Linked DNA regions of Notamacropus eugenii. The protein of the gene in region 1 purifies or fractionates together with the protein of each later gene. This does not show direct contact. Links are inferred from orthologs where the notes say so. Each region holds a gene or a part of one and is shown on either strand. Other genes may lie near its edges. The genes, in order: AP3M1, AP3B2 and RABL6.

Evidence for each region.
Region 2: the proteins of AP3M1 (region 1) and AP3B2 purify together in Homo sapiens (co-immunoprecipitation; 3 studies listed by BioGRID and IntAct, counting the BioPlex papers as one, with this or other methods). This does not show direct contact. The link is inferred for Notamacropus eugenii from reciprocal best matches to the Homo sapiens genes AP3M1 and AP3B2.
Region 3: the proteins of AP3M1 (region 1) and RABL6 purify together in Homo sapiens (co-immunoprecipitation; 3 studies listed by BioGRID and IntAct, counting the BioPlex papers as one, with this or other methods). This does not show direct contact. The link is inferred for Notamacropus eugenii from reciprocal best matches to the Homo sapiens genes AP3M1 and RABL6.

What each region holds. Positions count from the first base shown.
Region 1 is NC_092872.1:236,272,996-236,283,520, forward strand, and holds the start of AP3M1 (AP-3 complex subunit mu-1), read left to right. Parts: upstream 1-5,661; 5' UTR 5,662-5,762; intron 5,763-6,145; exon of another isoform or gene 6,146-6,248; intron 6,249-10,525. UniProt on the Homo sapiens protein: Part of the AP-3 complex, an adaptor-related complex which is not clathrin-associated. The complex is associated with the Golgi region as well as more peripheral structures.
Region 2 is NC_092872.1:221,334,666-221,344,978, forward strand, and holds the start of AP3B2 (AP-3 complex subunit beta-2), read right to left. Parts: upstream 4,085-10,313; 5' UTR 4,047-4,084; coding exon 3,823-4,046; intron 1-3,822.
Region 3 is NC_092872.1:492,640,973-492,650,957, forward strand, and holds the start of RABL6 (rab-like protein 6), read left to right. Parts: upstream 1-5,558; 5' UTR 5,559-5,974; coding exon 5,975-6,104; intron 6,105-9,985. Other genes in the region: CCDC183 (coiled-coil domain-containing protein 183), read left to right, coding at 803-919, 1,030-1,126, 1,978-2,099. UniProt on the Homo sapiens protein: May enhance cellular proliferation. May reduce growth inhibitory activity of CDKN2A.

The DNA.
Region 1 (10,525 bases):
TACCTGGGAGCAGAAGCCACCTCTGCCACTTAACTCTGTGACCCTGGCCAAGTCACTTAACCATTCTTATCTTCAATTTCCTCTTCTGTAAACTAGGGTGCCTACCTCACGGAGTGGTTGTGAGATCCAAAGGAGTGGACACAAAGTGCTTTGCAAACACATTTGCATGGACATGCATGTGACTAGAACAAGATTTCACCAGTATAGTCAACTCCTGATGAGGAAATTCCCTCTACCAAAGTAGTTCAAAAACTGTTCTGCGACTGAGAGTATTAAAGTTGGTTGGGACACGTAGAGGTTAAGGGATATCCCTAGGGTCACATAGACATATACACACATACCAGCTATTTATTATTAGACGGGAAATGCCCTGGGGAAGAGGTAGGATTTCAAGAGACTGTTTAAAGAAAGATTTATTTGGCAGGGTGAATCAAGGAGATCATTTCAAGCAGAAGAGGAATCTGGGAGCCTCCAGGGAGGCAGGAGTAGACTAGACATGACCAGACAATGACACACTAAGTTTAGCAAAGTGGAAAGGAGAACAGGCAATAAAGGAAGGGAAATAAGTTAAGATGTAGTGAAACCTTTGGAAGCAAAGGGTGAAGATCTTCATCTTGACAATCAATCAACAAGCTTTTATTTTGTTATTCAGTTGTTTTCAAGAGTTATGTCCCGCTCTTCACTGACAAAACCTGGGGTTTTCTTGGCAAAGATATTAGAGTGGTTTGTCATTTCCTTCACATTTTATAGCTAAGGAACTGAGGCAAACAGGGTTAAGTGACTTGCCCAGGATCACACAGGCAAGTAAGCATCTGAAGTTGGATTTGAACTCAGATGCTCCTGGCTCTAGACCTGGTACTCTATCCACTTCACCACCTAGCTTTTATTAGGTGCTTACTATTGCATCTATCACTGTGCCAAGCTCTAGGGATACAAAGAAGCGGATTGAGCTGCTGGGCCTGAAGTCAGAAAGATATGAGTTCCATTGTGGTTTCAGATATTTATCCACTGTGTGACCTTGGACAAACCCCTTAACTTCTGCCTCCAATTCCTCAACTACAAAATGGGGATAATAATAGCACCTACCTCCCATGTTACTGTAACAAGCAAAGGAGACATTTTGAAAGCATTTAACAGTGCCTGCAACATACTAGTTCCTTAAAAAATGCTTGTTCCCTCTCTGTCCCCAACAAAAGCAAAAATAATCCTGCTCTCAAGTTCATATTCTAATGGAGGAGACAAAACACACACACACACATACACACACACACATCAATACATACAAGTTTAGAACAGAGATGCTAGGTATCCTTAGAGGAAATGGCACTAGCAGCTAGGGAGAAAAGAGAAAGTGGCTCTCTAGCTGAGTATTATAGAAAATCAGGGATCCCAAGAATTGGAGTTTGGAAAGGAGAGCACCCTAGGCCTGGTGGCCAACCAGTACAAAGGCATGGGGATGGGAAATGGGGCTTCACATTCCAAGAACAGCAAGCAGACCAGGATGACTAGATTGTAGAGTATATGGAGGGAAGCAGGAACGAAGAAGACTGGAAAGGTAAGGAGGAACCTGGTTGTTAGGAGCTTCAAATGTCAAAGGGCTTTACATATGTAGCAGGGAGCCACTGGAATTTATGAAAGGGTTAGGGAGAAGACAGGCAAGGTCAGACCTATGCCTAGGAAATTCATTTTGGCAGCTCTGTGTTGTAATTATTGAAATGTCATAGAGAAAATAATTACAAGACCTGGCAAATGCCTAGATAGGTAAGGTAAGTGGAAGTGGAAGTCAAGGGGGACGCTGAGGTCAGGAACTTGAGTGACTGGGAAGATGAGGGTGCCCTTGACAGTAATAGTGAAGTTTGGAAGTGGGGTGTGTGTGAGAGGAAAAGAGATTTAGTTCCAGTTTGGAACATATCATTGAGGAGCTGATAAGATCACCAAATGAGAGAGAAATAAGAGAAAAGAGAAGGTGGATAAGTCTGTCAACTAGCACTTAGGTGCATACTATGGTCAGCTAAGCTCTAGAGATACAAAGGAATGGCCAAAACCAGTTCCCGTTCTTGAGGAGTTCAAGGTCTAATGGGAGAGGCTATATGTAAACAACTAGGTAGAAACAAGATCCATACAAGATAAATGGAAGATCAACAACAGAAGGAAGAGATTAACATTAGCATTAACCAGTCCCAGTAAAATGAAGAGGTCAAGGAAAGACAGAGCCTAGAGCAAGAGTAGGGAACCTGTGGCCCTCTAGGTCCTTGGGTGCTTGTAACTGAGTCCCAATTTTACAGATCAAATCATTTTATTAAGGGGATTTGTTCTGTGAAGTTTGGATTCAGTCAAAGGGTCTCACTTGAGGCTGAAATTCCCTACACCCCCCACCTAGCAGAAGAGTGGGTGTGACATGGATAATAAAAATCCAAGCAAAAGAGACTAAGAAAGGATCATAAGGACAGAAGAACCAAGAGAGACACTGTCACAAAAACCTACAAGAAACAATCTTCAGCAGGAGGAGGTGGTCAATCAGAAGTGTCATATACTACAGAGAGGTCAAGAAAAATGAGGACCAATAAGAGGTCATTTTATTTGGCAATAAACAGTCAGAAAGTATTGGTTAAGCACTATGCTAAACACAAAGAGAGACAAGAACAAGTCTGCCCTCAAGGAGCTCACCTTCTAAACAACCATGGACATCTAAGATGGATTTGTGACAGCTGGTAGTCTCAGAGGGAAGGTACAAGGTGGTTTGGGGGAGAGATGGAAAAAGCCACCTGCAGAAGGTGAGATTTTTGCTGAATCTCGTAGGAAGCCAGGAGGCCAAAGTGGAGAGGAAAGAGCATGCCAGTGCCAAGGCACTGAGTCAAAAGAATACTGAGATCACTGGTAGTTTGGAGGGAGCCACAGAGAAGTCGCCCTTCAGAAATGAGCAGTATAATCCAGAGGAAAGAGGGCACTAAGAGCATATGACACCATTTGCAAACTCCCACGCTACAATGACATCAAAAAACTCCACAAGATGAAACGCTGGTGTGGATTTGAAAAAAAAGGAAGCTGAAGGTGAACTTCCACACAAAAAGTTCTTTATTACCTTCACAGTGAGAACACAAGGGTGGTGGAAATTTGTTTTCTGCACTTTGACAATCAAGTTCAAAGTTTGTTTCTTATTTTTGCATGGCAAGGGCTGAGCACAGAAGCCAGGGTATGGCCTTTGTAAACTTTGTCTGGTAGATTTATATGTAACTGTCATAAGGATTTGGTGTCATTGCCAGGCATGTGAGATGAGAACTGAAAAATAAGGGTTAGCCACATACGCAAAAAGGCTTTACAAGTGTAGAAGAGTTACCCTGAACAATATGAAAAAGACCAGACCACCCACAACCTAATATAATTAGAATGTATAAGATTTATGAATATGTATTTGGCCAAATCCTTTTTTAAAAAACACTGCAGGATGGTGGCAATTTCTTCCTGGGTGTAAACTAGGCATAAGAAATCACCTAAGGCAGGGGTTCTTAACCTGGGTTCCACAGACCTCCCCACCTAAAGTGGTCCATGGGGGGAAAAAAACCTAAGTTTTTATTTTCACTAACTTCCAACTGTAATTCAGCATTTGCTTTCAGTTATTTAAAAACATCATTCTGAGGAGTCCACAGGTTTCACCAGATTGCCAAAGAGGCTCACAACAACAACAACCAAAATGTTAAGAACCCACTTTTAAGGTAATCAAAAATATCACTAAAAGCACAGGTCAGAAGGCCTCAAAGGTGGAAAGATCCATAGGAGGTCACCTAGTCCACTCCTCCTCATTTTGTGGATGAGGAAACTGTGACCAGAAAGGTTGAAAGAGTTGCCCACTGCCCAGTGCATATTCAATATGGGGGATTTGAATAATTCCAGGTTCAGTGTTCTTTTCCAATGACCCTACACTGAATCAATCAATGAATATTTATTAAGCACCTCCTATGGGCCGGGTGCTTAGTTTTCAAAATCACCCTCAAAGCCTGCAAAAATGAATCATTTAACATTATCCCCTCCACTTTGGCTCAAGTGCATAGAGTGCCTGGTCTGGAGTCAAGAAGACTCATCTTCCTGAATTTAAATCCAGCCTTCAGACACTCACTTGCTGTGTGACCCTGTGCAAGTCGATGTAAGCCTCAGTTAGCTCATCTGTAAAACTGAGCTAGAGAAAGAAATGGAAAACCACTCCAGAATCTTGGCAAAGAAAACCCCAAATAGGGGTCCCAAAGATTCCGACACGACTGAACAACAACTACATTTGTAACACCTACAGTTTCCAAGAGCTTTCCCATGGATCTCGTTTGACCCTATCTCTTGAGGAAGCAGGCTGAATTCCTGTATCCTGGTTACTGAATGCTGAAGCTCCGGAAAATTAAGACACTTGCCAAGGTCCCGGTGCAGTCAGGAGTAGAACACCCCTCTTGGCTTGGAAGCAGATTCTAGCCCACAAGTTTGCATGTTCACAGTTCTGCCTTTTTCTTACTTGAGAGAGAATGGGTGGAGAAGGGTATGTGGTGGGGTGGCATCTATACAGTCTCTTGTCATCCACGTGTGTGTCTGCGTACACATACATACATACACACACACACACACACGGGCCTTAATGGGATAGTTCTTAACAGTCGGAAGGGCCTGTTTTCAGCTCCAAATCTCGCTGTCATCGCGTGCCTATGGATTTCAAAGTCCAGAAGCTTTGGGATGCAAGCATTCCATTTATTACTGAGGAGCGGACGAAAAAGTAACATTATTTTACAGGGAGCGCGATTACGACGGAGATAAATGTTTAACTAGAGGCTCCAGCGGCTCGCCTCTCCCTTTGGGCACGCCAGCGCGGGCCGGGGTCTGCACACACGCCGACCTGGCGATGCCCGTTCCGTCCTCTCGCCCTTCAGCATACCTTGCCCAGGACCCCAGGACCCCAGGACCGGCCGGTCTAGTGCTCCGCTGCGCCGGGCCGGGGCTGGACGCAGCGCGAAGCGCCCACGTGGGGCCGGGCCTGGCCCCCCCTCCCCTCGCACGGCCGCGCTGATTGGCTCCGAGCCGGTGGGGGCCTCGCGGGGCGGCTCCGCGGCCCGGCTCTTCCCGGCCCCCACGTGCACCCCCTCCCAGCCCAGCGGCGCTCACCTCAAATGCGACGTCGCCTCCACTTTCGGCTTTTTAGCCTGCGGTTCCTCGTCCGCCGCTGCCATCTTCCCGCTCTCTGCCCTACTCTCGCGCCCCTGGCCACAAGCGCCCCTCCCCCGTCCGAGGGCACACCCAATCCCCGCCCCCTCTCCTCCCTCCTCCCCCGGCCTTCCCAAGGGCCGGCGCAGGGTGCCCTCTCTTCGGGCCGCACGAGTGTGAGCCCCTCCCCTCTCAGCCCCCAGAGCTCGCCCCGCCCCCAGGTCAGGCGGCCTCCCGGGCTGTCTTCGCCCCGCCCCCGAGCGGGGCCTTGGCGGGAGAGGGGCAGGAACTTTCGAACGGGCAGCCCCTGGCGCCTGAACGCAGGGAGTCATACGACCGACAGCTCCGCAGCTTCTGCCTCGGGATGGAGTGCTCTCTAGGCCCTTGGAGACCTTTGCTCTGCTCAGGTATTCCCTTCGGAAGGCGATCTGAGCGCGGCGGCGGTGAAGCCCTCTCTCAGGCAGTGAGCAAAACAGCCCGGGCCGCAAGGTCCCCGCCGCCGCCGCCGCCGCCGCCGCAGCCTCTGAGCCGGCGGCCTCCTTCCGGAACGGGTCCGGGGCTAAGCTCGGGCCGCCCGGCTCCTCGAGGTAAGTGAGGCGGGCCATCGGGGCGGCGGTCGGGGTCAGGGTCAAGCGGGGTGGGGAGGGGTCCGCAGAGCCGGGGGCGGCGCTCCTCCCGCCCACTCCCTCGTCAGCGCCGCCGGGGAAGGGCGGGGCGGCTTCTAGGGACCCGGCGCTCCGGGGAAGGGACGCGCCCCGGGGCAGGTGAGGCGACCGGGTCCTCCTGACCAGCACCGGCCCCTCGACGTGGCCTACGGCCCGCCCGGGCAAGGGATGCGTCCCTGCGACCTCTGTGCCTCAATGATCCACCCTGCAAGTGCTAAGTAAGCGCCAGCTATATGCCGGGGACACCGGCACCAACGCCTGTTCTGGTTATTACCCTCGCCGCCAGCATTCTAGCGATCGCTTACCTCGGTGTTTCAAAGCCCAGCCACCCCGGGGGGAGGCATCGTTATAATCCTCACTGTACCGGAGAGGAGACGGGCAGGGTCCTGGACTTGCTCGGAATCACCCGAACTCCGGGCCGGGGCCGACGTTCTCTCCCCTGCGCCACCTCGCGGCCCTGCGTCTGTGGGACTCCGGGGGAGCCCCGGAGCTCGTGTTTGTACCCTGGCCAGGGTCCTCATGGACCTCCTTCCCGTAACTTCTGGTCCGGCTCTTCGCGCTGCCCAGCGCGTCCCCAAAACCGTGTCACACACACACTCACACGTTCGTTTTTCCGTCTTTTACAGTTAGTTTCACTGTCAAGGTGGGGGGGTAGAGAAGTGTCCGGCTGTCTTCTCATTTCACAGACAGAGACACTAAGACTCAAAGCCGAAGTGACTCGCCCCTCCTCCAGGAGCTCCGCTGGCATCGGAGCACACGGCGCATACACGTACCTGTGGAAGACCGTTATCTTCCGCGACACTTGAAAGCAGGTTCGGGCACAAAGTAAGCCTTGGAGAAAGGCTTGACCCACGGACAGTCTAGTTGATTTGTCATGCCCTTGACCATAGCAGCAGCAGTGTGGAATTGTTTATTATTATTATTGAACAAAAGAGAAATGTAGACATGAGAGTGGAAAGGGCTGTCCATGCTCCAGCAGAACCTATGCCAGCTCCAGGAAGGACTTGAGACCCTGGAGGTTGGCTGGGTGAGATGGGAAGCATGGTCTGGGTCTGGCAAGATAGAGGCTAGATTCCAAGCAGAGCAGCCCAGTCCGGAGGCAGAGTGCCCAGGCTGAGGGGCGTCAGATGAGCAAAGGAATGGAGGGCCTCTGCTCCCGATGTGGTGGGGAGGAGGGCAGCCCTAGGGGAGCTGTCCAGGTGCTCTTACAGGTAAGCTTTCCTTGGATGGATGTGAAGCCCCGAACTATTGTAATAGTGGCCTTCAGATCTTTCCCTTCTCCTTCCCAGGACCTAAAATAGGACTGCCGGAACTCACTCTTCTGCTCAAAAAAATACCTGTGAAGTAAAAAGTTCAGTCTCTCCCACTCCAAAGGCTCACTCGCTCCCACACATAGAGTCACACCCCTAAAAACACTTGAACTCTTAAAACTGTACGTTTGTACAGACTGTTAGAAACATGCTTGACACCAATAAGGTGTCAAGGAAATTTTATTACAGCAGAGTTCAGAGGAATTGAACACTTTGGCCAAAGCGGACCTCCACCCTCATTTCAAGAGGAGGGAGCACTGAATGCATGAGGTATATACCTTTAGTTCAAGACAGATTCTCCCACCAGGAGTTTGATTGGTCGTCCTCCTTTAGGTCACCATCTTCTCTACATGCCCATTACATAACCCCCCCCCTTACTGTGATTCCCCCCAAACATGCTTTAACATAGGACCCATGATCAGAAAATGGAGGGATAATTTTATGCAGGGTGTGTCTGCTTATATGCATGAAGTTCATTAAGCAAGCCCAGTAACTCTACATCATTTTTCTTGACTAGTTCCAGCTAACTGTAGATTTGGTTCCTTTATCCAAAGCTTCCTAATTTTCTGATTGCCACTGTCTGTCTTTTGATTGGTTGAGTCCACCTGCAGTCTGCTGGCCGCCTTATTATCTAACTTATTCTCAATGGCTTCATCAATTAACAATAACTTACCGTGGAAACTTAACTTTTGCTGTCTCTCGCAAGGCTATTCCTAGTACTTGGAAAGTTCTCCCCCACTTTTTTCACCAGTTGAAATCCCACCCTTCTTTTAAAAGCCTTTCCATAAGAAATGCTTTATTCTCAAACATTACACACAGTTATTATGTAATTATGTATTATGATAGCTAACTTCGTATTTTACAAAATATTTTCACATATTTTCATTTCTCTAAAGATCTAAAAGTATTATGCTCAGTTTACAAATGAGGAAACTAAGGCACAGAGAAGTAAAGTGATTGCCCCAGGGTCAAAGTGCCAAAGGTAATAATATATGGACCCTGGTTTCTCCTACATCTGAGTCCAGTGATTCTACTGTATTATATTGCCTGTTCTAGATATCTGTTACTGTTTTATCTCCTTGATTGTAAACGCCTTGAAACCCAAGCTTTGTCTTTATCAAAACTTTACATCTTCTCAATTGTGTGCATTAGTGTTCTGCATGAAAGTGCTTAAAATGTACTATTTTTTGTAGCGTGAGGCAGGACATGCTAGGTGTCCTGTAAGCAATGTGAACCAATCCCATTAAGTGATTTCAGAGGGAACCTTTGAAGTATGGGTAGGATTCTAACAAGGGTGGGGGGTTATCCTGAGTGGAGAGAGGGGAAAGCATGAAGTTGTGCCAGTAGTTGTGTTTGGAGGAGTGATCAGACTAGAAATTGGAAAGGTAAGATCACAGGAGTATTTCATATTAGAAGACACTGTTAGAAGATTTTGCAAGTATAATTCCTACTGGAGAATATATTAAAACCTAGACACTAGTAAGTGTCAAAAATAAAATTCAGACCCAAGTCTTCCAAGTCCAGTGTTTTTACCTACTACCCCACAGTGCAGTGGGCATTGGGAAGTCATTGAAGGGATGTTATTATAGTCGTGTAGGGAGATGGGAGGTTTGGAGACTATTTGGGAAACTAATGCCTTGAACTTAACCATGGTGGCAGTCCGGATAGAAAAGAGCTAAGTAACATTGCAGGAGGAATTTTAAAAATCTTGTTATTGATTTATTTTAATAGAATGAAGAGAGAGGAACAAAGAGAAATACATACACCTAAAAACCGTTAAGCAAAACACGCAAAAGAACAATTGTACAGCTTTATAATTTGCCATTTATGAAAAGAAAGGAAGGCTTTAACATAGTATCAGCATTGTTTCTTGTGGCTAACTTGAGTTTTGTTCTCATTTTTTCATTCATATGGTTATAGTCAATGTATATATTTCTTCAGGTGTGCTTTTTCTAAACTCTTATTTATCTGAATCTTCTTAAAGACCTCTAAATTCTTCATATTTATCTCACAGCACAATAATGTCATGTCATTTTGTTTACTCTCTTTATTGAATAAGCTCTCCTTTGCCACAAGGTTATTGTACAGTTTCTAATTTATGAGTGTGCACTATTAAATTTTTCCCCCATAGGATCTGGGTGACTTCTCCTAGATCTTAAAGTTAGTAAGGGACAGAGTCCAAGTTCAGCATTATTTCCAAGGATAAAAATTGCAAATACTCCATCAAGTTCACATAACTTATCAACTAATAACAGAAACTGTGAAAATTGGCTAAAATTGGTTTTTAAACTCTAGAATACCATAAATGTGAGCTCCTATTTGTGATACTATAAAATATAAGACACAACATTGGAAAATTAAGCCCCTGGGGAACATGCTAAGGACTGAATCAGTAGAGAGGCTTGGGGAAATCAGACAAGTTGATAACCTGAACGTTTTCCCTTCTGGAATGGGATATTCACTGTCACTTAATGCGAGGGATAACTGCCTGGAAGAATGAGTTGAAAAGCTAGATTTCACCTTTATAGACAGTTGAGGCTTAGGACCTGCTATTTCCATTAAGTGACAATAACTTAGTACTTCAAAAATCTTGTTTCTGTGATATGGTTACTCCCATTTACCAACACAGACTGTAAACTTTCACTCCTTAATATATCATCTTCATAAGTTTCTGTACATGAAAAGATTCATCACCTTGGTAGGTCTTATAGAGGTCATCCACTCCAAACTTAGCTAGGTTCATCTTCACATGGACATATAGTGCATTGTTAGGCCCCAAACCTTTCCAGCCTGGTAGGACCTGCCAGAGCTTGTGCTTTGTTATCACAGCCCTCAAGAGCCCAGATTTACTCCTACACCACGAGAAGGGATCAGAGTAGGCTGTGAGGAGCCTAGTTCTCCATAGAGATATTTCATTAGCTATGTAGACTAGAAGAAAAATCAACCGAGTGAAAAATAACCAATTCACTGTGGCCATTTCACTTTAAGGTGTATGGCAATGTGTCTTACAGATGTCAGGTGGTTTTGAACATAACCTCTGGTGTTCATTAGGCTTTTTATACATTCTCTAGTTGGAATTATACTTGCAAAATCTGACATGGGCTATCTGCTTAACCACTCTATAAACCAAACAATACTCTTTAGATGAATCCATGCTTCTTTTACCACATTGCACTAAAGAAACTCTGGAGTTCTCAGTTTAGGGTCAAAGCTCTATCATCTCTCTCTTAGTTTAATCTTGTAATGAAAGAATTCCTTCCTGGAAAATCTTCCTAACATAAAAGCTGTTTTTATTGGCAGTTATTCAGGGTCTCTGCAGAGTACAATACAGCCACACAGTCCAGATTTATCACTGTTATCCTTAGTACTACGTTT
Region 2 (10,313 bases), about 15 Mb from region 1:
AAATAAGTTGTAAGAAGCAAGAGAAGTCTTGATTTGGTGGACCATGAAGGAACAATAATCATTTTCATTCCTACTGTAGACTCTGGAATTAATTCTGCTATTAGATGGGGTGGAAGGGACCCTAAACTACTAAGTTTAGGGATTAGTATACAGTCACTTCATTACTGGTCTATGTTCTGAAATTTGTACCCCACATCCAATAACTAAGTTCTTAATCTTTAAAATTGTATAAAAATGTCTTTTGTTTTTACATAACAATCATTTCTGAATGTGCACTCTCCCCCTCTACCAAATGAACAAAATCAAAAACAACAAAAACTTTTGAGCAAACTCAATTGATAAAATAAACGCATCTGTCAGCACATACAATAATCCGTACCCATAGTCCCCCACCTCTTCAAACAAAGGAGAGAGAGTCATTTCTCCCTCTCTTCTCTAGACCAACAAAAACCACTATAATTATATAACATTCTTTACTTGTTTTTTTCTTGTATGTGTGTGACATACAAACCAGCCTACCTAACATTCCCCAAATCAATACCATCTCCTAGCTCTCTTGCATGTCTGAAATGTACCCCTCCTTACCTCTCCCTCTTAGAATTTCTAGCTTCCCGATAATTATAAGCAGTTACTTGTTTTGTTTTTCTTTTATGGGTGACTAATCCTATCTAACATTGCATAACTGAGTCCCTGTCTTTTCTAGTGAGCCCCTGCACTAAATTTATTCAGTTTCCCTGGGACAAAGGTCTTACCTCAGCCCTATAATTCTTTTTTTTTAATGTTACATTGATGTTTTTTTTTTTAAAAAATATCACTAGGGGTAATCAGAATGCATGCTGTCTTGAGGTGGGCAGAGGAGAGAAATGGGGAGAAAATTTGGAACTCAAAATCTTGTAGAAATGGATGTTGAAAACTGAAAGTAAATAAATAAAATTGAAAAAGAATTATTAACATTATTATAAAAAGCAGGAAAAAAAATCAGTTACTTCCCAATGGCATACTCCTACCCCTCCCCTGAATCCTCTCTTCTAACAAATTAAAGTAGTCAAATACAGCAAATATATTGTTGAACTTAAAATTATTTCAGGAACTGAAAGTCTCCCCCTAAATCCCAGTCCCTATACCCAGGTCTCCTTTTTCCTGACACTGGACTTTTTGCCTTTACTCCATCATCTTGGCTCCATCTCCCTCCATGGAACTTCTTGGTACCAGGTACCTGCTTGTTTGGACTTCTTCCTTCTAAAATCTATGATAACTGGATCACCTACCTGCCTTGTCCCTGCAAATCTGTGTGATTGCCAGTCAATCTCAGTTTGTTTTGTCATGCTGGTGAAGGAGACCTAATCTTAAGACTTATCAAATTTAAGACATTTGGAGCCCAGATCAGGGAGGCCAACAACCCCAATCCATTCAATTCTTACTACAAAGCCTCAAAGAGCAGTGATTTTATTGGTTTGAGTTTTTCTTTTTCAGATGCTGTTTGAGATCCATCTGGATTAGCTTGATAATCTAAGATTGTTGGGGAACTGAAAAAAATGTCATTCTCTGGAAGTCATCCTGAGGAGAAGCTTCTCTGAATTTAGCTCAGGTGGTCTTCACATTCCAGGTACACATTTTGCTGTAGGGTGAACACCAGAAGGCCTGTCAGGGCACCTGCTCTACCAGTTCAGCCTGGGAGAGTCTAGGCCACTTCTATGCCATGATAACTATCAAAGGAGAACTTTCTTGGGGCTGATTTACTGCCAAAAATCATTTTCTCCAAACATTGGCAGTCTGCTCCGAGAAGGGTGATGGCTACCTGGTGGGGTGGGGCAGTAAAAAGATCACTGGCTTTGGAACCTGTGTGACCTCAGAGAAGTCATTTAACTTAATGATAAACCCTAAGCTCCTTAAGAGCAGATTTTAATTTTTGTCTTTGTATACCAAACACCTTGCATAATGCCTTGTACACAGTACATCACTGATTGATGCTCACCCTTCAGACATTTATTAGATGTATGACCAAAGACAACCTCCTAATCGTGTTCCCAGTTATGAACCTCTCTTTTTACTAATCTATTCTCCATAGAGTTGTCAAAACAATCCTCCTAAAGCAAGATCTGACCATGCTCCTCTCCTGCTCAGAAAACTGTAAGTGGCCCCCTATTACCTGTGGGATAAAAGTCAGATTCCTCAGTTTGGCATTTAGAGCCCTTCGTAATCAGTTGCCAGGCTACCTTTCCTGGCTTATATTTTACATGACTCCATTTTCACATACCCTACTTTGCCGCCTGTTTACTATTCCTCAACTCAATATTGCATCTCCTAGCTCCTTTGCATGTCTGGAATTCACTCTCTCTTTATCCCTCCCTCTTAAAGTCCAAGCTTCCTTCAAGGCTCAATTCCTTTTCAGCCCTCTAGTGGAAATCTTTCTGAATCTCCTCATTATTAGTAGTTTCTTACCACAATGACATGACATCACAAGGCTTCTATGACTTTCTTCAAGTCCCACCTAAAATCTCATTTTCTACAAGAAGTTTTTCCTGAGCCCTATTAATGCTGGTGCCTTCCCTTTGTGGATAATCTCCAATTTATTCCGTATATATTTTGTATGTACATAGTTGCTCACATTTTGCCATCCTCCCCCATGCACACATTAGACTGTGCTCCTTGAGAGCAGGAACTGTTTTTTGCCTTTCTCTGTATCCCCAAGGCACAGATCAGTACCTGGAACACAATAGGCACTTAATAAATGCTTGTTGATTAAGGACATGGACCTTTGTTTTTGTGACCCCAGAATTTAGCACAGTTCCTTGTATATAGTAGAATATTAATAAGTATTTGTGGGGTTTGGGTTGTGTTGAAGTAGGTGCACAGATTCCCTTTGCCTCACCCTCTCCAATAGACACAGTTATCAGAGGGATGGAGGGCCATCTGGCAGCCCCTAATACATCTTCCCATTCTTTCCCCCTCCCTCCTGTTGCTGCCTACTGTGGGCTGTCATGTAGGAGGGAGAGATGGAATCAGTGATACCCTTAGGGCCATGAAATATTAATCTCCTATAGAAGGATCACTTTACAATTCAGTCTAACCCTGTATTGATCCCTGGCTCTCTAGCTCCTGACTTCTTACCCCATCCTAGTCAGGGGGAAGAGAGATCAGCAGTCCCTTTTCTAGAAGATAGATAGAGTCTACCAGAGAGATATCAGTGAATGCAGGGTCATTAAGGGGAAATTAAGGCCCAACTCCCTAAGACTCCTTCTCTGCTCTCTATGGCAAGGGAAATACTCTCATCTTATATAGCCTTTCCATGCATCTGCTCTCCTGTTCAATCATGTAAGTTGGAGAAGGTTCTCTGTGAATTTTTTTAGATCCTCCCCTGAAAGATACCCCCAGAACTTAGTACTTTTGCCTGCAACAAGCTTTCTTTCACCAGCCACCCTCAATATTTATCCTGGCTCCAACAAATGAGGGAGCCACAAAGGTCATCAGGAACAACCCTATCTCCTATCTCAAAATTCTTTTCACAAATATACTCTGTTCAAACCTATATCCTCCTCAAATATGGAATTGCCCCCCTCTCTACATGCACAAATATACATACCTAGACCCCCCTCTGTGTATTCTACGTCTCTAATAGAACCTAGACATCTTTTCCCTTTGGATCTCTCTCCCCATCCCCTCCACACCCAAACTAACACTTCTCTCCTCCCTTTACACATCCTAGCCAGATTCCCCTTGAGAGTGAGATCAGTTCAGCTCCAGGGACTTAGAGCCTGAAAAAATACTCCCTGCGATCTCCTGGGGTTTATGGAAGTCCCCTAGAGTGCCCCCCCTCCATACCGTAAAGGCTGGCTGTGGCTGGTCCCATCAGAGCCACCTTCTGGGGACACATCCTGTTCAGAGGTCTGGAGCTGTCGTAGCTCATCTGGTTGCAGGGCTTGGTACCAGGCTGGGGTGGCCCCCTCAGGGGTAAGAACAGGGCTGGTTGCCTCCTCACCCACCCTGTTCCCCGGTGGCTTCACCATAGTCCCTGGGAGCTGCAGGAACCGCTGCATTGGCGTCATCGGGCTTCGTACCTCAGATACCAAGATTCCCTGGAGACCCCTAAATCTGGTCCCAGACACCAGGTTTCCCCCCAAGGCAGACAGAGTCCGCCTCCTTCTTCTCTCCCCTCCTCTCTTCTCCCCAGCTGATCTGTGACTCAGTCCTTGCTTCAGTGAGTCCTCACTGATACTCCACCCGCCCAGGCTCCACGGAAACTCAGAAATGTGATGCTGCTATGGGACAGCTGGAGGGAGTCTGGGTAGTAAAGCTGTGGAAGGGGAGGGAGGAGAGGGCAGCAGGGGTCAGCTCCAATTTCTCCTTTTCTTCTTTGAGACTGAGAGGGAAGATTTATGGGTGGTGGGGGGACAAGGAATGTGGCTATTATTTAGTAACTAAAGTACCCTCCAAAAAGCCCCAAACAATTTATGAGGTTATGGGGGGATTGGGGAGGGGGAGAAATAGGGAGGGAGATGTGAGCAGATTTAAGAAAGGGGATATAAGAAGAAGGACAGAAGGAGTGGGGGATGGTAATGAGGGATGAAGAAATCAAGATGGGATATAGCAAGATTGGGGTAGAGATATTGATAGGAATTCTGAGGAACAGAGTATGGCGACGTGTGAGAGTAGATGACCCATGAGGAAGGTAGTGAGTCATAAAATTGTAGATCTGAAGAGATTTTAGATGAGGAGTTCTTAACCTTCTTTTTGTGTACCCTTCTCAGAATATTTTTCCTAAATCTATAATTAAAGAAAATGCTAAATTGCAATTAGAGGTTAATGAAAATAAAAATGTATTTTTTTCCTATTCAGTACACAGATTCCCTGGAATTTGTGGACTTCACGTTAAGAACTCCTGTTATCTCATTTTACAGATGACACCTAGAAAGCTTTACCAACATGAAGTCACACATCTAGTTAGTGTCAGGACTCTGGACTAGAACCCTGGTCTCTTGAATCCCAAGCCCAGTGCTCTTTCCATGGCCTTCACTGGCCTTCTTTTGTGAGTGAGCAAGATTCCTGAGAGGAGTTATTGAGTTTAGATTTCTCTCTGAATTACAAATGAGTCTAATTTCAGACTAAGGATCTAACATTATCATCTAGTCCTTTTCTCTGACCCCAGAGGGGCTCAGTGCAAAGGAGAAGGCAGGGGCATTAGACTGTGAGCACTAACCACAGGAAAACAGAGGTGGAGGATGGGAGCAGAAATCTCCCTGTGATTGCTCCAGAGGGGACCAGGGATCCCAGGAAGGACTATGTTTCATTTACAATCCAAAGGGCAGGTTTAATTCCAGCATCCTGAGAGTTCAGAAATTCGATGTTAGTCTGTAACTTTCCTCATGTGTGTTAAGTGACATCTGCCTGTCTGTCTCCTGCTGTCATGGACAGTAGAACCCTCAGAAAGCTCAATTGACTGTTTCAAGGTCTGGGAGATAAATGAGCAGAAAATACTCTGCTCCTGCTCTGCAGAGTAAAATAACCTCACCTTAATCTAAGGGGGAGATGGCAGTGGAGAGAGACCACTACTGAGGTAAAAAAAAATTATAACAATAATGATGATAATAGCTCACATTTATAAAGTGCTTGCCTTATAACAACCTGTGAGGTAGGTAACCTAGGACACTAAAATGATTTTAGGAATCATACAGGTAAGACAATTAATTTCCCAACTTGGGCTATGAGGTAGATAGGAGTTCTGATAAGAAACAGTTTCATTGGGAGGAGTTATGAAGGAAACATTCTTCCTAACTTCCCCATGACTGCTGAGGTTACCACCATCCTCCCAATCACCCAGGCTCACCGCCCTTCCTCTTTGCTTCCCCCTCCCTCTCCCCACAGCCGATCTTTTGCCAAGTGCTGTTGATCCTAGCTTTGTAAAGGACAGAATACATTCCCATATTTCCTCTGACTCCCTTCAAACCTGGACTATTTGCAATAGCTTGCTGGGTTGGTCTCCCAGCCACAAGTCTCTCCCCACTCTAGACTATTCTACTGTTGAGGTGAGTTAAATTTTTCTTATATTTAAGGTCTGACCTTATTGTTGTTGTTCAGTTGTCTCTGACACTCTACATCCCCATTTGGGGTTTTCTTGGCAAAGATACTGAAGGGGTTTGCCATTTCCTTCTCCACCTCATTTTACAGATGAGGAAGCTGAGGCAAACAGGGGTAAGTAATTTGTTCAGGGTCATACAGCTAGGAAGTGTCCGAGGCCAAATTTGAAATCAGGAATAAGAGTCTTCCTGACTTCACACACAGCACGCTATCCACTGTATCACCTAAGTGCCCCATCTGACCTTATTACCTGCTCAGTAAACAGTAATGGCTCCTTTCCCCTCTTGGATCAAATTTAAAATCCTCTGTTTAGCATTCAAAGCCTTTCCACATCTAGCCCTCCCCCTTTCCCACCTTTCCAGTCTTCTTACTCTTTACTCCTTCCTACTACCCCACCTTCCCCTTGTATTTTCAATCCATTGACATTGGTTTCTTTCCTGTTCCTAGAACAAGATACTACATCTCCTGACTCTGGGAATGTCTACTGGCTGTCACCCTTACTTTAAATGGTCTCCCTCCTTCCTGTCTCCTGGTTTCCTTGGCTTCCAGTTTAAGTCCCAACCAAGATAGCACCTTCTGCAGGAAGGATTTCCTGACCTCCTTAATTCTAGTATTTTTCTTCTCTTGATTATTTCTAATATATTCTCTACATAGCTTGTTTGTACATAGCAGAATGTTTTCTCCCCCAGTCTAATCTATGAGCTTCTTGAGTGCAGGGACTGTCTTCATCTTTCTTTGTAGAATTTATGTGTTTGGCACATAGTAGGCAATTAATAAATGCTTATTGACTGACCGAATCAGAGGCATGGACAAGATGGAGGTGTGGGGTGGCCAGAGAAGCAAGGAATATGACATATATGAGCCTTCTGGGTCCTGGGAATGGAGATTTCCACAGTAGATGAGAGCCTAATACTTTTGACATTTACTGGGGTTTGTTAACATCCCTTCACTGTTCCCTCCCCCAACTCTACAGGAACATTGTACTACTTAGACTCCGATCCTAGAAGCAAAAAGGATGTTTCCCGGGGTACGGAACCTCCATGGAGGCTGCGGGGGCGAGGCGGCACTTGAATTTGGGATTAAGTAGGGAGCACCCTGGAGGGAATTTTACTTAAGGTTTGGGGAAAGGAATAACTGGGAAGGGGGCGCATAGACTATGAAGGGCAAAGAAGGCATCTGGGAAGGAGTTTGAGTGTGGGTTCCCAGAGTCGCCTAGAGAGAGGAGTCATCTAGAAATCCCAACGCTTCAGAACCAGCCTCATTTTAGGCCCTGCCCCACATACGGTGGGGAAGATGACGAGCTCCGGGGAGAAGAACGGTGGTCCTTCTCATCAGCGGCACCTCCGTATGAACCTTGACAGAGTAAGTCCCAGCTCACGACAGTAAGCCTGGGTCAGAGGGATAGGTAAGTCACCCAGTGCAAGGCCGGGCCGCACACAATGTCCAGGGAGGATAAAAAGTAGGTCGCAGCTACAGCAGGCACTTCAAAAACCTCATCACCCCCAAGCTACCCCGCTCTCTCCACGCCCCCTACGTCACTGGCCACAACAGCTGTAGGGTGGAGCTTGAGTGCAGGGGGGCGGGGGAAGAGCTGTCCATGGTCTGCGGCTGACTCTGGACACCACGAAGACCTCGGGGTGGGGGTGGCCACTGTGGGGGTCGAGGCAGATAGGCCCCAAACAGATTTAGCCCTCGCTAGTCGCTAGGACTCTCGCCCGCACTGGCACTCAGGTATTTTACTCCAGGGATGAAATTAGGTTCTGCTCCTAGACCTCCAATCTCTTCCGCTGTTTCTCCCCAAATCTCTCCACTTCTAGATGCCCTCTCCTCACCCTCACACCATCACGACGGTCTCCAGGTACACTCCTGTCCTGGTCTGGTCCAGGGTCTTCACACAGCCTCTCAGATCTTTTGCCATCACGTTACCCTAGATACCTGACTACCCCTGACACTAGTGTTCCCTTCCCTCCTCCCCCAGCAGGCCTCGAGGTTTCCTCCTGCCCCAGGGTCCTCATTTACCTCCCTCTAATCAGGTCTTTAACTATCCTCCTCACTGGGTGTCTTCTTTCCCCAAATCTCCATCCTACGTTCCTTTCTGCCAAGGCACTGCCTGTTCCACCAGACCTCAGGTTTCCTTTGCCCAGGTTGCCTTATATATTACTTCCCACAAAGCCTTGCCCTATACCCTTCTACACTTCATATCACCCTCCTCTGACCCTACATCTCTTCGCTCTCCTGTCTCCAGGCTTATCCTCCCAGAGTCTGGCGCCCCACTCTATAGTGGCAATATCTTTTCTTGGTCTGGACCCTGGGTCTCACCCTATACCTCTTCCAGCCCTCCCTGTCCCCTTTCCCGGTCCCAGATCCAATCGGGTCATGGGCCTGATTGGGGCCGAGATCTAGGTTCCCCCCAACCAAGGAGAAGGAGGCCTCTAATGAAGCTGAGACAAGGATGCCGGGTGAGGACAGGTGTGAAGAAGGGTTCAGTGGCTCCTCGCACGGTGCAGAATTCGGTAGCAAATCTAGGGGCAAGAATGACTGCTTCCTTCCAAGAGCTGCTTGTGCAAAGCCATCCCCCTCGGGCCCGATTTGCCAGAGGGGAACTTGGTTGGTAGCCCCGCCCCCTCCCCACAAATCCCGGGCCCCGTGGCCAGGGAGGGGTCCCTCCTGGAGCTGGGGGCCCGCATCCCAGCCTACCCCACCCCATCCTCCCGGGCCCCGCCTCACCGCTTGTAGTCGGAGGAGAAGATGCCGCCGCTGGCCGGGTCGTGACCGTATTCGGGCTCCCCTAGGCTGGAGGAGCCGCTCTTGTCCTCGCTGTAGGCTGGAGCGGCCGACATGGTGGTCAGGGTCTGGGGAGAGAGGCCGGGCCGGAGGAGGCTGAAGGAGGCAAGGTGTGCCCAGAGATGCTGGAGCAGGGATTTAGAAATCCAGAATCAGGCTGAGCTTCTTAAAGGGCCAGGCTCCGGGAAAGGAAGTGGAGGGGGGAAGGAAGAATGGGGGGAGGGGTGTGGATCCTGCAGCAGGCACCTGGCTCCTCCCTGCCCCAACCGAGGAGCTGCGACGTCATCCTCACGTGAACAAGGAAACCCCCCTCCCCAAAGGGTGTCCCTTCCTCTTAAAGGGATAGAAGGAGGTGCCCAACATTGCCAACTAGGGGCTTCCTCACTCATTCCGGTGAGAAAAGGGGAGCGAGACCTTGGGAAGAATAAGTTATCCGCTATCCTATGATCCTGGGAGGAGGGAGGCGAGGGAACAACCTGAACGGATTAAGCTTCTAAGTGTGAGAGGCAGTGCTATGTAGTGACGTAAGAAAGATGGGATTCGAGTTTCACCTCTGACACCTGCTTGGCTGTGTCACCTTGGGCGAGTCCTCTGTGTTCTAGAGTCTAGACAACTTTCTGAGACTTACAAGAGAAGGTCCTGGCCTGCATTGGCGAGGGAAGTTCCCTGGCCTGAGAGTTCCCTAAAAATGAAATCGCAGGTCCTCCTACCCCTACTTATCACTTAGCCCTACTGTGTGCTACGTACTAGGGATATAAATAGCCAAAATGAAAAACAGCCTTCAAGGGACGGTTTTCATCAATTTGCATTCATCCTTGAGAGGCTCATCTTGTTCATTAGAAGTGACTGGGGGTTATCATGGTATAGGATTCTGGACCTTTCTTCAATTCCTCCTTGTGTAGTACCAAAAAACCTGCTTTATACAAGGCTTCCTGTGCTTGTCAGGAAAATCTGAGGATTTAGAGCTGGAAGGCATGTTCAGAGTCTTCTAGTTCAATTCCCTCATTTTACAGAAAACCAAGACGGCATATGTGCCGTCTCCGAGTCACCATGAAAACCAGGCACTCACACTCAAAATTTAATTCTCTTTTACTGGAGTGGAGGGGTGGGGATGGGGAAAGATGATGTTGACATTTAGGATTCGTTTTCCTTCCAGGTTCGATGTTTAATTACCTTTGGATCCAGTCCTAGCTCATTGTTGGTCTCTCCCTACCAGGTTGGAAGGGTCACTACCTCAGTTTCCCCAGGTCAGGACCTCCCTGAGGACTTTGCTCCTGTATACCTAGTGAGGGTGTCCCCTCATTAGACAAGGGAACTCCATGGGCCTCCCTTCCTACACAGGGCTTTTCTGGGCTTAATGTATTTATTGAAGAGTGAGAAGAGCCAAACCAGAAGAATAATTAATAGGTCTATTGATTAGAACTATCTCAAAAACAACAAATTTGAGTCAACCA
Region 3 (9,985 bases), about 260 Mb from region 1:
GAGCCAAGAAGCCCTGGGTCCAAGGCTTTCTCTGGAACATGCCAGCTGCATGATTCTCAATAAGCCACTTTAGTGCTCCTAGGCAACTCTCAAGAAAAATAAGTTGTGATCAAGATGCTGACCTGTATCAGTAGAAAAAGTTCTTCCTTGGGAATTTTCTACACTGATAAAATTACAGGTCTAGTAATCAGAAGGGGGGGGCCCTGAAATCAGGAGGACCTGAGTTCAAATGTGACCTCAGACACTTACTGACTGTATGACCCTAGGCAAGTCACTTAACCTCGATTGCTTCCCTCTCCCCCCCAAAAAATGGAGTTTCAAAGTTGAGGGTGGGGTTGGGGAAATACCTTGAATCTAGTTCTGGTGAATAACCAGGACTCCTCTCATTTCTGCTATGATTTTATAGCTTTCAGTTATATGCCTTTTCAGCCTTTATCTTCCTAGGTTTAAAAGGCCTAATCTAATCTTTTGAATCAAGTCTCATCCAGCCACCCCTCCCTCTACTGTTTTCTGAAGCTTCTCCAGTTCAGTTCTGTCTTCCTTGATAGCTCCCCTTCTTCTGATGCTGTTAAGAGTTCAGTCCCCCAAAAACCTGTCCCCTAAACTCTACCTAGCTCCTAGTTTCTGAGGAAGTGGTACCTCCTACCTTCTACCTCGTCCTCCCCAGATGAGTATAAAAAGACCCTAAGACCCATCACCCAACATTCCCTCCAGTCTGAAATTCTGACCCTAAGGAAACTCCCTGCAGAAAGGGGCTCAAGGGAGGAAATTGAGAGGAAATGAGACATTTGTTTGTCTTCAGAAAGGAATGCCTGGTCCTGCTGATACCAAAGATGCCTACAGTAAACTACAATACTGTGAGAAGAAGCTACTCTATCTGATAGAAAGAACTAAGAACTATGTGGAGATATTTGAAGAGGTAAATGAGGGAGGGCAGAGGCAGAAAAGTTCTTCTATGTACCCCCTTTCCCGGCCTTTTACCCCTGCTTCTTTCCCCTGGGTCCATCTTATTACACCTCTGCTTTTTAGTACTCCCAGAAAGTGAGAGACTTCCTAGAGGAATCAACGCTAAGTGAAACACATAACGTGAAGATTACTTTTGAAGATGGTGATGATGATGGGAGAGGTGAGTTACAGTGGCTTAGGTGATAAAACTGTAGAAAAACCCATTCATCCTGATGTCTGAGGCTGCTGATCCTGCCTTCATCAAGTCCACCCTCCCACTCCCCCAACCTCACAGACAAACTTTAGGCAATGGGGATAAGAAGCAGGAATTAGAAGTTCTAGCTTTTAACTTAGGGAAAATCAGTAGCTAAGGTTTGTGATTGTCCCTGATGGGACTGGTGAAAGTCTGTAGAGTACTAGATACCCCATATAGCTCTTCAACTGAACATTCCCAGACATTCAGAGCTGCATTCCCAAAGTGGGGGGGGGGGGGAGGCTGGTAGTATATGGGGCAAGATAGAATTGGATTGGCACATCGTCCATCAGCTTTGCCTCACACATGATGGTGGACTATGTTCTGAGAACCTGGGCAACCTTTTCTTAGTCTCTGAATTATCAGAGATGAGTCTTTCTGCCACACTTCCACTCCAAACACACACCCTTAATCATCTAATTAAGAAATAACAATTTGCACTTGTATAGGGCATAAGGAAAAGGACTGGAACATGTGCTATGGGTATCTCAGAGGGATTTATTTAAATAACATGCAGCTTGGGTTTAGTTATGAGGTATTTCCTCCTTGATTTGCTACTTAACTGTAGATAATGGTAGGCTTAAGGCCTGGTGGGTAGGAAAGGGAGATGGGACATAGTGAATTTGGGAGTTACTAGTAAGTCATTCCCCTGAAATAAGAATGGTAGCCAAATCCTGTGACTCTCCACCCCCCTGGGAATGTAACAGTCCACAGATAGCCTCCTGGTCAGTGGGGTCCAGAAGCTCCTCCACTGTCCTCTTGCCTTATACTTTTTCCAGAATCCTTCCAGTTTCCTGATGTGGAACATAGCTACGTTCCTTCTCGGGACGAGATCAAGAAGCAAAGTGAAAATCTGATTGAAAGTAAACTCAGAAATATCAAGAAACCAAAGAAGAAATAATGGTTCCTTCTTTAGTCTTGATCCTTTCCTTAACCCCACAAGGCCCTGCATGTCCAACTTTCCAGCTCACAATGGACTGCCTCCTTTCATGCTCAGTTTATTACACAAATAAAATTTTTTCCAGAACTGAATATAGCACAAGCCATTCATGGCCATGCAACAGCTCCTTGGTAGGGGAAGATGGGACTTAAGTGGGATCATCACCATAGGAGAGTGAAGGTAGCAACCCCTAATACCTGCTGTCAGCTCCACTTAACAGAAAGGAAGGTTGAAAGCAGTACAGGAAAGCAAAAAGAGAGTTGGATGTGGGAATTGGGACACCTAGGATGTCTGTCTGGCTCTGCCACTAACTCATTTGTTATCAATCTGTCAAACATCATCTGCCTGGCCCTGTGCTAAATGCTAGAGACACACACAAAAAAAGCAAAAGACAGTCCTTGCCCTTGAGCTCACAGGCTAATGGGTGAGACGACATATAAGCAATTATGTACAGACAGGGTATGTATAGGATAAATTGGAGATAATCAACAGAGAGAAGGCATTACAGTTAAGGGGGATGAGGAGACATTGCTGTAGAAGATGAGATTTTTAGCTGAGGCTAGAAGGAAGCCAAGGCCACCAGGAAATGAAGGTAAGAAGGGAGAGCATTTCAGACATGGGAGGGAGCCTGCAAAAAATGCCCAGTGAGGAAATAGAGCACCCTGTGCAAGCTAAAGAAAGTCAGTATCAATGGATCATAGAGAATATAGAGGGGAATAAGGAATAAGAAGAACTAGGAATGTAGGATGGAGACATGGTACAAAGGGTTGCAGAAGTCAAGTACAAGATCTGGAGCTTTATCAGAATTTCTATTTGACAGGGAGCCATTGAATCTGTTGAGTGGAGTGAGTGGGGGTGGGGTAGGGATTCACATGGTCAAACCTGTGCTTTTCGATGATCATCTTGACAGGTGAGTAGAGGATGGACTGGAGTGGGTTGAGACTTGAGGCAACGAGTCCCACCGGAATGCTATTGTAGTCTCAGAGCAATATGATAGGGGCTCTCATCAAGGGTGGTGGCAGGGTCAGAGGAGAAAAGGGGGCATGCTAGGGAGCTTTTACAAAGGTAGAATCAACAGACTTGCAACTAACTGGGTTGAGAGGTAGGGGGAGTTTTGAGAGTGACCTTGGACAAGTGTCTCTGGGTCTTAATAGTTTCCTCCTTTATTATATATGAGGGTTATGTTACCTCTTGGAGTAAGAAAGCATTGAAATTAGACTGCTTGTGTTCAGGTCCCTGTTCTGCCACTTCTTATCAGAGACCTTAGCTAGTCACTTTAATGCCTACCTCATTACATTACTCCTGGACTATTGCAATAGCATCCAGCCTAATCTCCTTGACTCCCTAACTCAAGTCTCTCCCCACTGCTGTCCATCTTCTACTCAGCTGTCAAAGTCATCTTCCTAAAGCCCAGGTCTGACTCTGTTAACTTCTCCCCTCCCCTCACCCCCCAACCCCACCCTAACTCATAAACTCCAATAGCTCCCTATCAAATATAAAATTTGAGTCTTAGTTGTACTTTATAAGTGAGGATAACACATCTTGCAGTGGTCACATCCCCAAGATGAATGAGGAGAATACTTTATAAAGGGTAAAATATTGAAAGGAACCTATTCTCTTTTTTATTTTATTTTTAGTTTTCAACATTCACTTTCATAAGATTTTGAGTTCCACAATTTTTCCCCTTCTCTGCCACTGAACGCTATGGGATCTCCTCAATGAGATCAACAACTACTGAGAGAGAAATTACCCTACTAAATCAGGAAAATCTAAGTGGATAAAGAATGTGTATTGCCCAGATGACAATCTGGGTTTCGTAGTTGGTACCAAAACAAGTCTGTCCCCATAAGTAAATGTCCTCCCTGGGTAGAGAAGAATAGGCCTGTAAAATGAATGGGTAGCATTTAAGTGTCTTGGAGTCCCATAACTAAGTAAATGTCTGACAGGATTTGAACTTAGGTCTTCCTAACTCCAAGTGTAGTACACTATAGACTGTGCCAGCTGGCTGTCTGTCTTGGTGAACTCAAATTTGTCTTTTCTGAGCCGTTTATCAAAAAAGCTGCTCTATTTTTTGAAGCCTTGTTAGTCTGATGGCCAAACCTGGGAAAATGCTAGGTACAAAATTTCCCAGCTTCCACTGAAACAAATCAGATAAGTGGTGCTCCTCAAAATGTGCCTTCATGTGAGGAGGGGGCCTCTGATACCAGAAAAGGACATTTGGAATCAGATGACTTGAGTTTGAATTCGGACTCTGCCACTTACTGCCTGCTTTGGGCAAGTCACTTAAATTTTCTGAACCTTTTTTCCGTATCTCAACTTCTCAGGGTCCTTCCAATTCTAAATCTAAATCTAGAATTACACGTAGGCTTATAGATTTAGAGATCATCTCCCTTCTGTCTTTAAATCTATAAACCTATGAGATCATTTAATTCAAACATCCACTTCCCCCCAACCCCATTTCATAGATCAGCAGACTAAGGTCCAAAGAGCTTAAATGATTTGACTACCAGTTACATTGTAAATGAGTGAGTATAAGAGCTAATATTGGAAACCAGGTCATCTTGGTTCTAAATCCAACTTTCTTCCACTACACTATGCTGTGTCTGGTCACAGATAGGCAGCCTATTTAATTCATCCGTCCAGAACTATACGTTGAACAGACAATAACCTAGGACCACAACTGAATATAAGGGAGTGGGTGGATGGATGGTCCTCAGCAGAACATTCAGTGCTTTTAAAAATCCAAAACTGGTCACAACCGTGAAAGGCCATCTTATTAACACTTATTCTCCAGATGCAAATACAGCAACTCTTATATAATTAAACATCATGAAACACTATGGCCTCCTGGCACACTGTAACCTGGAGGTGAGAGATGGGGTCTTGGGGGTGCAGAGTGCAGCCTGCTCTAGATGTGCCTGGTTTAAACCCTGAGTATCTGCCATTATTACCTTCCAGGGAGACACCCATTGCTTCCCCTGCCCCCAACCCTTGGGTAAGTCATTTTAAATCTCTGCCTCAGTTTCCTCATCTGTAAAATGAAAAAAATAAAAGCACCCACCTCCCAGGGTTGTCACAAGGATCCAATGAGATGACATTTTGTACAGCCTTAAGGCCGATACCTAGCCATCATTATCATCAGTTTGAGGAGGAGGTGAGTGGGGTGTCTGGAGAAGCGGGGGTGTCTCTGGAAACAGTGGGTAGGTAGAGCGACTCCAGAGCAGAATTCAAATTTCACTCTGCCCCACCCCTTCTCTCCGCCCCGCCCCCGACAGCTCCGTAGGAGCGGCGAAGGGGGCGGGGACTTCGCGCCTTCCCGCACTAGCTCCGCCCCCACCGCCGTGTCCCCCACGGGCCCCCGTAGCTGAGGCGACGCTGAACGAGGCCCCCTTCTCAGCGCCCCCCTCCCCCTCCGCCCGAGCTGTCCCAAGATGGCGACGCAGGAGAGCGGCAGGTGGCGGTGCGGAAGGCCACGGAAGCTGTGCCACGTCCTGTGAGGGCACCTAGAGACCCGGCGTAAGGCCAGGGAGAAAGCCGAGGCGGGCTAGCCCGCGACCGTCTCGAGCCGAGCTGCGGAGAGCTAGAGTCCTGCCTGACCGCCTCGCCTCCTCCGCCCCCGGCCTTGAGGAGGGAGCCAGCTGGGGCTCTGCCCAGGGGGAGGGGGACGGGGAGAGGCCTCCCCTAGCCGCCCCTCAGCCTCGCCCTCCGTCCCCCTTCCCCGGGCATGGTCGCCCCCGCCCGGAGCTTGCCCCTCCCTGCCTGAGCCCGCCGGAGGGCCCTCTGGATCCTCCAGGACCGCTGTAGGGGGGAGGCGCGGAGCTGGGAAGGGCAAGAAGATGTTTTCCGCCCTCAAAAAGCTAGTGGGGTCGGACCAGGCTCCCGGCCGGGACAAGAACATCCCCGCGGGGCTGCAGTCCATGAACCAGGCGCTGCAGAGGAGGTTCGCCAAAGGAGTGCAGTACAACAGTAAGTGAGGCCGGGGGAGGGTCGCCCCGGAGCCCCTGCGCCCCCCACTACTCTCGTCAGCCTCGGGGGTCCCCGAGGCACTTGGCCGTCAGTGCTGAGACCCTGCCCCGGGAATTGGGTACCTCGTAGGGTCGGGAGCTAACGGGGACCCTCTGCTTCCCCTTCAGGGGGGAAACTGGGCATCCTGCCTTGGATCTTTTTGCCCCGTGGGAGGGGAGGGGCAGGAAGCTAGATTGGGGGTTTGGGGGTTAGGAATGCTAGACAGGATCGCACCAAGTCAATGCTGGAAGGATCATGGGACTTAGAGTTGGACCGGAAGGATAGATAGATGAGCTCATCCGGATCCCAGGTTTCCTAGGACTTGAAGCAGGAAGAACCCATTCGGTTCAAGTCTCCTGGGATTTAAACCAGTTCAGCTTCTCGACCGAAGGAGTATGCTGCAGGCTGAGGAGAAGATGACGTGACCTGCCCAAGGTCACACCCTCAGCGAGGGGGTGAAATCAGAACTGGAGCCCAGGACCTCCTCTACAAGGCCGACACGCTGTGACACTGGCCTCCTGGCTACTTCCTTGGACGAGACACTCGTCTCCAGATCCCAGGCATTTTTCACTGGCTGTCCCTCAGTGTAGAAAGCTTTCCCCTCTCATCCCTACCTCCTGGCTTCCTTCAAGTCCCAGATAAAATCCCAATTATTTCTCTTAATTCTAGTGACTTCCTTCTGTTGATTATTTCCAATTTACATTGTACATAGTTTGCACAGTTACTTGTATGTTGTCTTCCCATTGGTTTATGATTTGTATCCCCAAGGTTTAGCCAGGTTGCTGGCAGCGCTTAATGAATGTTTGTTGAGTGACTGATTACGGAGTTTTAGGAGTCCTAGCAGATTTAATTTCTTTCTCCTAGGCTCCCCCCCCCCCCACACACACACACACCCCTGCCTTTTTTGAAACTCACTTAAGGCCCTGAAGTAAGGAAAAGGAGAAATTCAGTTTAATTCAACAAGCATTTATTAAGCACCCACTTAAGCCAGGCACTATAGTGTGTGCTGGGAATACAGAAAATAAGGGTTAGCCTTCATTGGTAATATTCTTCAGGATGAGTTTCAAACGATGGTGCTAAGTTTAAAGAAAAGTAAAGTAGTGGTCAGACTGAATTAGTTCTGGCTTTTGGGCCCATTCATTGTTCTGTGCCTGTCACTGCTCCCCTACCCCCAGATTTCTGAGAATTTGATATTTATAGATAATGTGACCAGATTCAATTTTTCTTTTGTTTTTTAAGTATTAGTCTTAAAATATTATTTTTGAGATGATCTGACATACTATCACAAATATAAGTAACCAGGACCAAGAATAACAGCTATTACTGATATGATGTATTAAAAACTAAAGTGTTGCCCTTTTTCTCAAAAAAAAAAGTATAGTAGCAATTTTTATTGGACTACTCATTTATATGACTATCCATTGAATGCCCAAGGCGGCATAGTAACAGTGGAAAATTGCAGGATTTGGAGTCAGAGGGCATGGCTTCACACTCCTGCCCTTACTGTTAATTACCTTTTGTGTACTTGCACAAGAAATTTCATCTCCCAGTGCCTCATCTTTAAAGTGAGGAGGTTAAATTACATGAGTACCTTACAGTTCAAAATCCGTATTCTCTGTGTGTCATAGGTGCTAAGGAAGTTTGCAAGATACAGGTGAGGTATAGCTCTTTCCCTCCAGGAACTTTGAGTCTTTCTAGTCTTATTTTTATTTAAACTTGATTGTATGGTCATGCTAGGGGATTCTGTGCTGTACAATTGTATGATTATCACCAGATTGAAATTATACAAACCAGATGTGCCTCTCAGAGTAATCATTTTCTTTGGAAAGGTGGATGAGAATACAGAAGTTGTGAAGTCCGCAGTATATGAGCACTGACTCTATTCTTGCTGCCCTTACATATCCTAAATAGTGTTGGATAGAACATAGCTCATTATGTGCGTTCTGCATGTGATATATTGATGAAAAGGCCATGGCAGCAGTTTTGCTAAGCGCCTTAAGCTCACCAAAACTTTTTATGGGATTTTTGATACAATATTATGGATAGCATTGGCTATATTTTGCCTGAGAAATTACTATGTAATTTGAAAAAGTAGCCTCTTGTTCTGTCACTCTGACGGTGAACTTAATTCTAGAATTCTTCCCAGAGAGTAGACTAACTTATAATGAATGTGATTTTAAATTAATGCACCATCTTATATAATAATTTATAGTATTATTGAGTCATGTGCATGTTCTTTGTAGTCTTAACTTTCAAGTGTGGATTTTGAAAAAAATAATTTTGACAAAATTTTAAGATCATAGATAGAAAGGACCTCAGTGGAATTAGAGGACAACCTTCTCATTTTACAGAATGAGCAAACAGGCCCAAGGAGGTGAGATGACTTGCTCAAGGTCTCAAAGGTTGTGCATCAGAATTTGAACCCAGGGCCTCTGACTGTGGTGCCTTTCATTCTTCCTTTAATTTTTTTATGTTGTTGTTTTTAAGAAGCAATTCTGTGGGGCTATGTTTAGTGAAACTCCAGAAAACAGGGATACTGTTACTGTTTATAATCTGTTACACATTGTGAACGAAATGATCATTTGAAGACAATAAAGTGAGAATTTAAGATTTTCATCATACTCAAATAATATAAATTAACTCCACGGCTCCTAGGCATTGTTCTGTCCTCAGGTAAATTTTCTCATTTGACATTTGATTTTGCTATATTGCAAATCAAGACAACAAACATTGGCAACATTTCAAAACTTTTATGTTGTATTTTGACAGTGTTTCTTTTCATTCCACTTTTAGTAAAAAAAATTTTTGGAAGGGGGTTCCTAGGCCTGTTTCAAACAAAGCTTTCAGTTTTCATAATAATTTGCCTTGGTGGTAGGATAGAATATTTAGAAGATGAACAGAAAAGCTTTGTCAAATTTAAAAACAAAGTTCAATCTGGCCATATTGTAGCTGTAATTTATTTTCATTTGTTTCTCTCACTAAATGTTCAGATTCATCAAGGTAGAGGAATGAAGTCAAATAACTACCTTAGCAAATAGTTCGTATAAGTTAGTGGGATCTGTGTTTAAGCCCCTGATTTTCCTTTAAGCTGTAACCAACCATTAATATGACACTGTGTTTTAAAAAATATTTTTAAATGACTCTTTAATCTCTTGGAAATTTGGAGCATCATTCTTGAATCTGTTCCCTCTCAGAAATGTGTGTTTTTCCGTGGAGGTCGCCCACTGATTCTGAGTGGGCTGAGAACTACGAATTTACTTGTTAAGGAGAAAAAGAGGAAGAATATCTGTTACTTCATGAGGTCTCAAAACTTACAGACACCTTAGAAATCATCTGGTTCAGTTGCTACCTGATAGGAGTTTTGGTAGAATGATAAGTGGAAAGCTAGACTAACGGATGGGTTAAGAGAGTGGGAAGAGAGAAAGTGAGGCAGCTTTTATTGACATTTTTTTGTAGTTTAGGGTTCTGTCCTGGGCCCTCTTCTCTTCTCTCTCTATACTACTTCACTTGGGTGAGCTCATCTCCTTCCCATGAATTTAATTACTATCTCTATGCTGATGGTTTTCAGATCTACTCTGCACAAAACTGTTGACCTCTGATCTTACACCTCCTCCTGCCTTTAAGACATGTAAGCCCAGATGTCTGAATTTTATATGTCGGAAGCTGTATTTGAAATCAGGTCTCATCCACTTCACCACCTAGCTGCCTCACTAGAGATCAGGAAAAACTTAGGAGGTATAGTATATAGTACCTCAGTTGAGTCTTGAAGAAATCTGAGGGTTCAGAAAAGCTTGGATCAGAGTAAATTTCAGGTATAGAGGAAGGTAATATCTGTAAAGTTA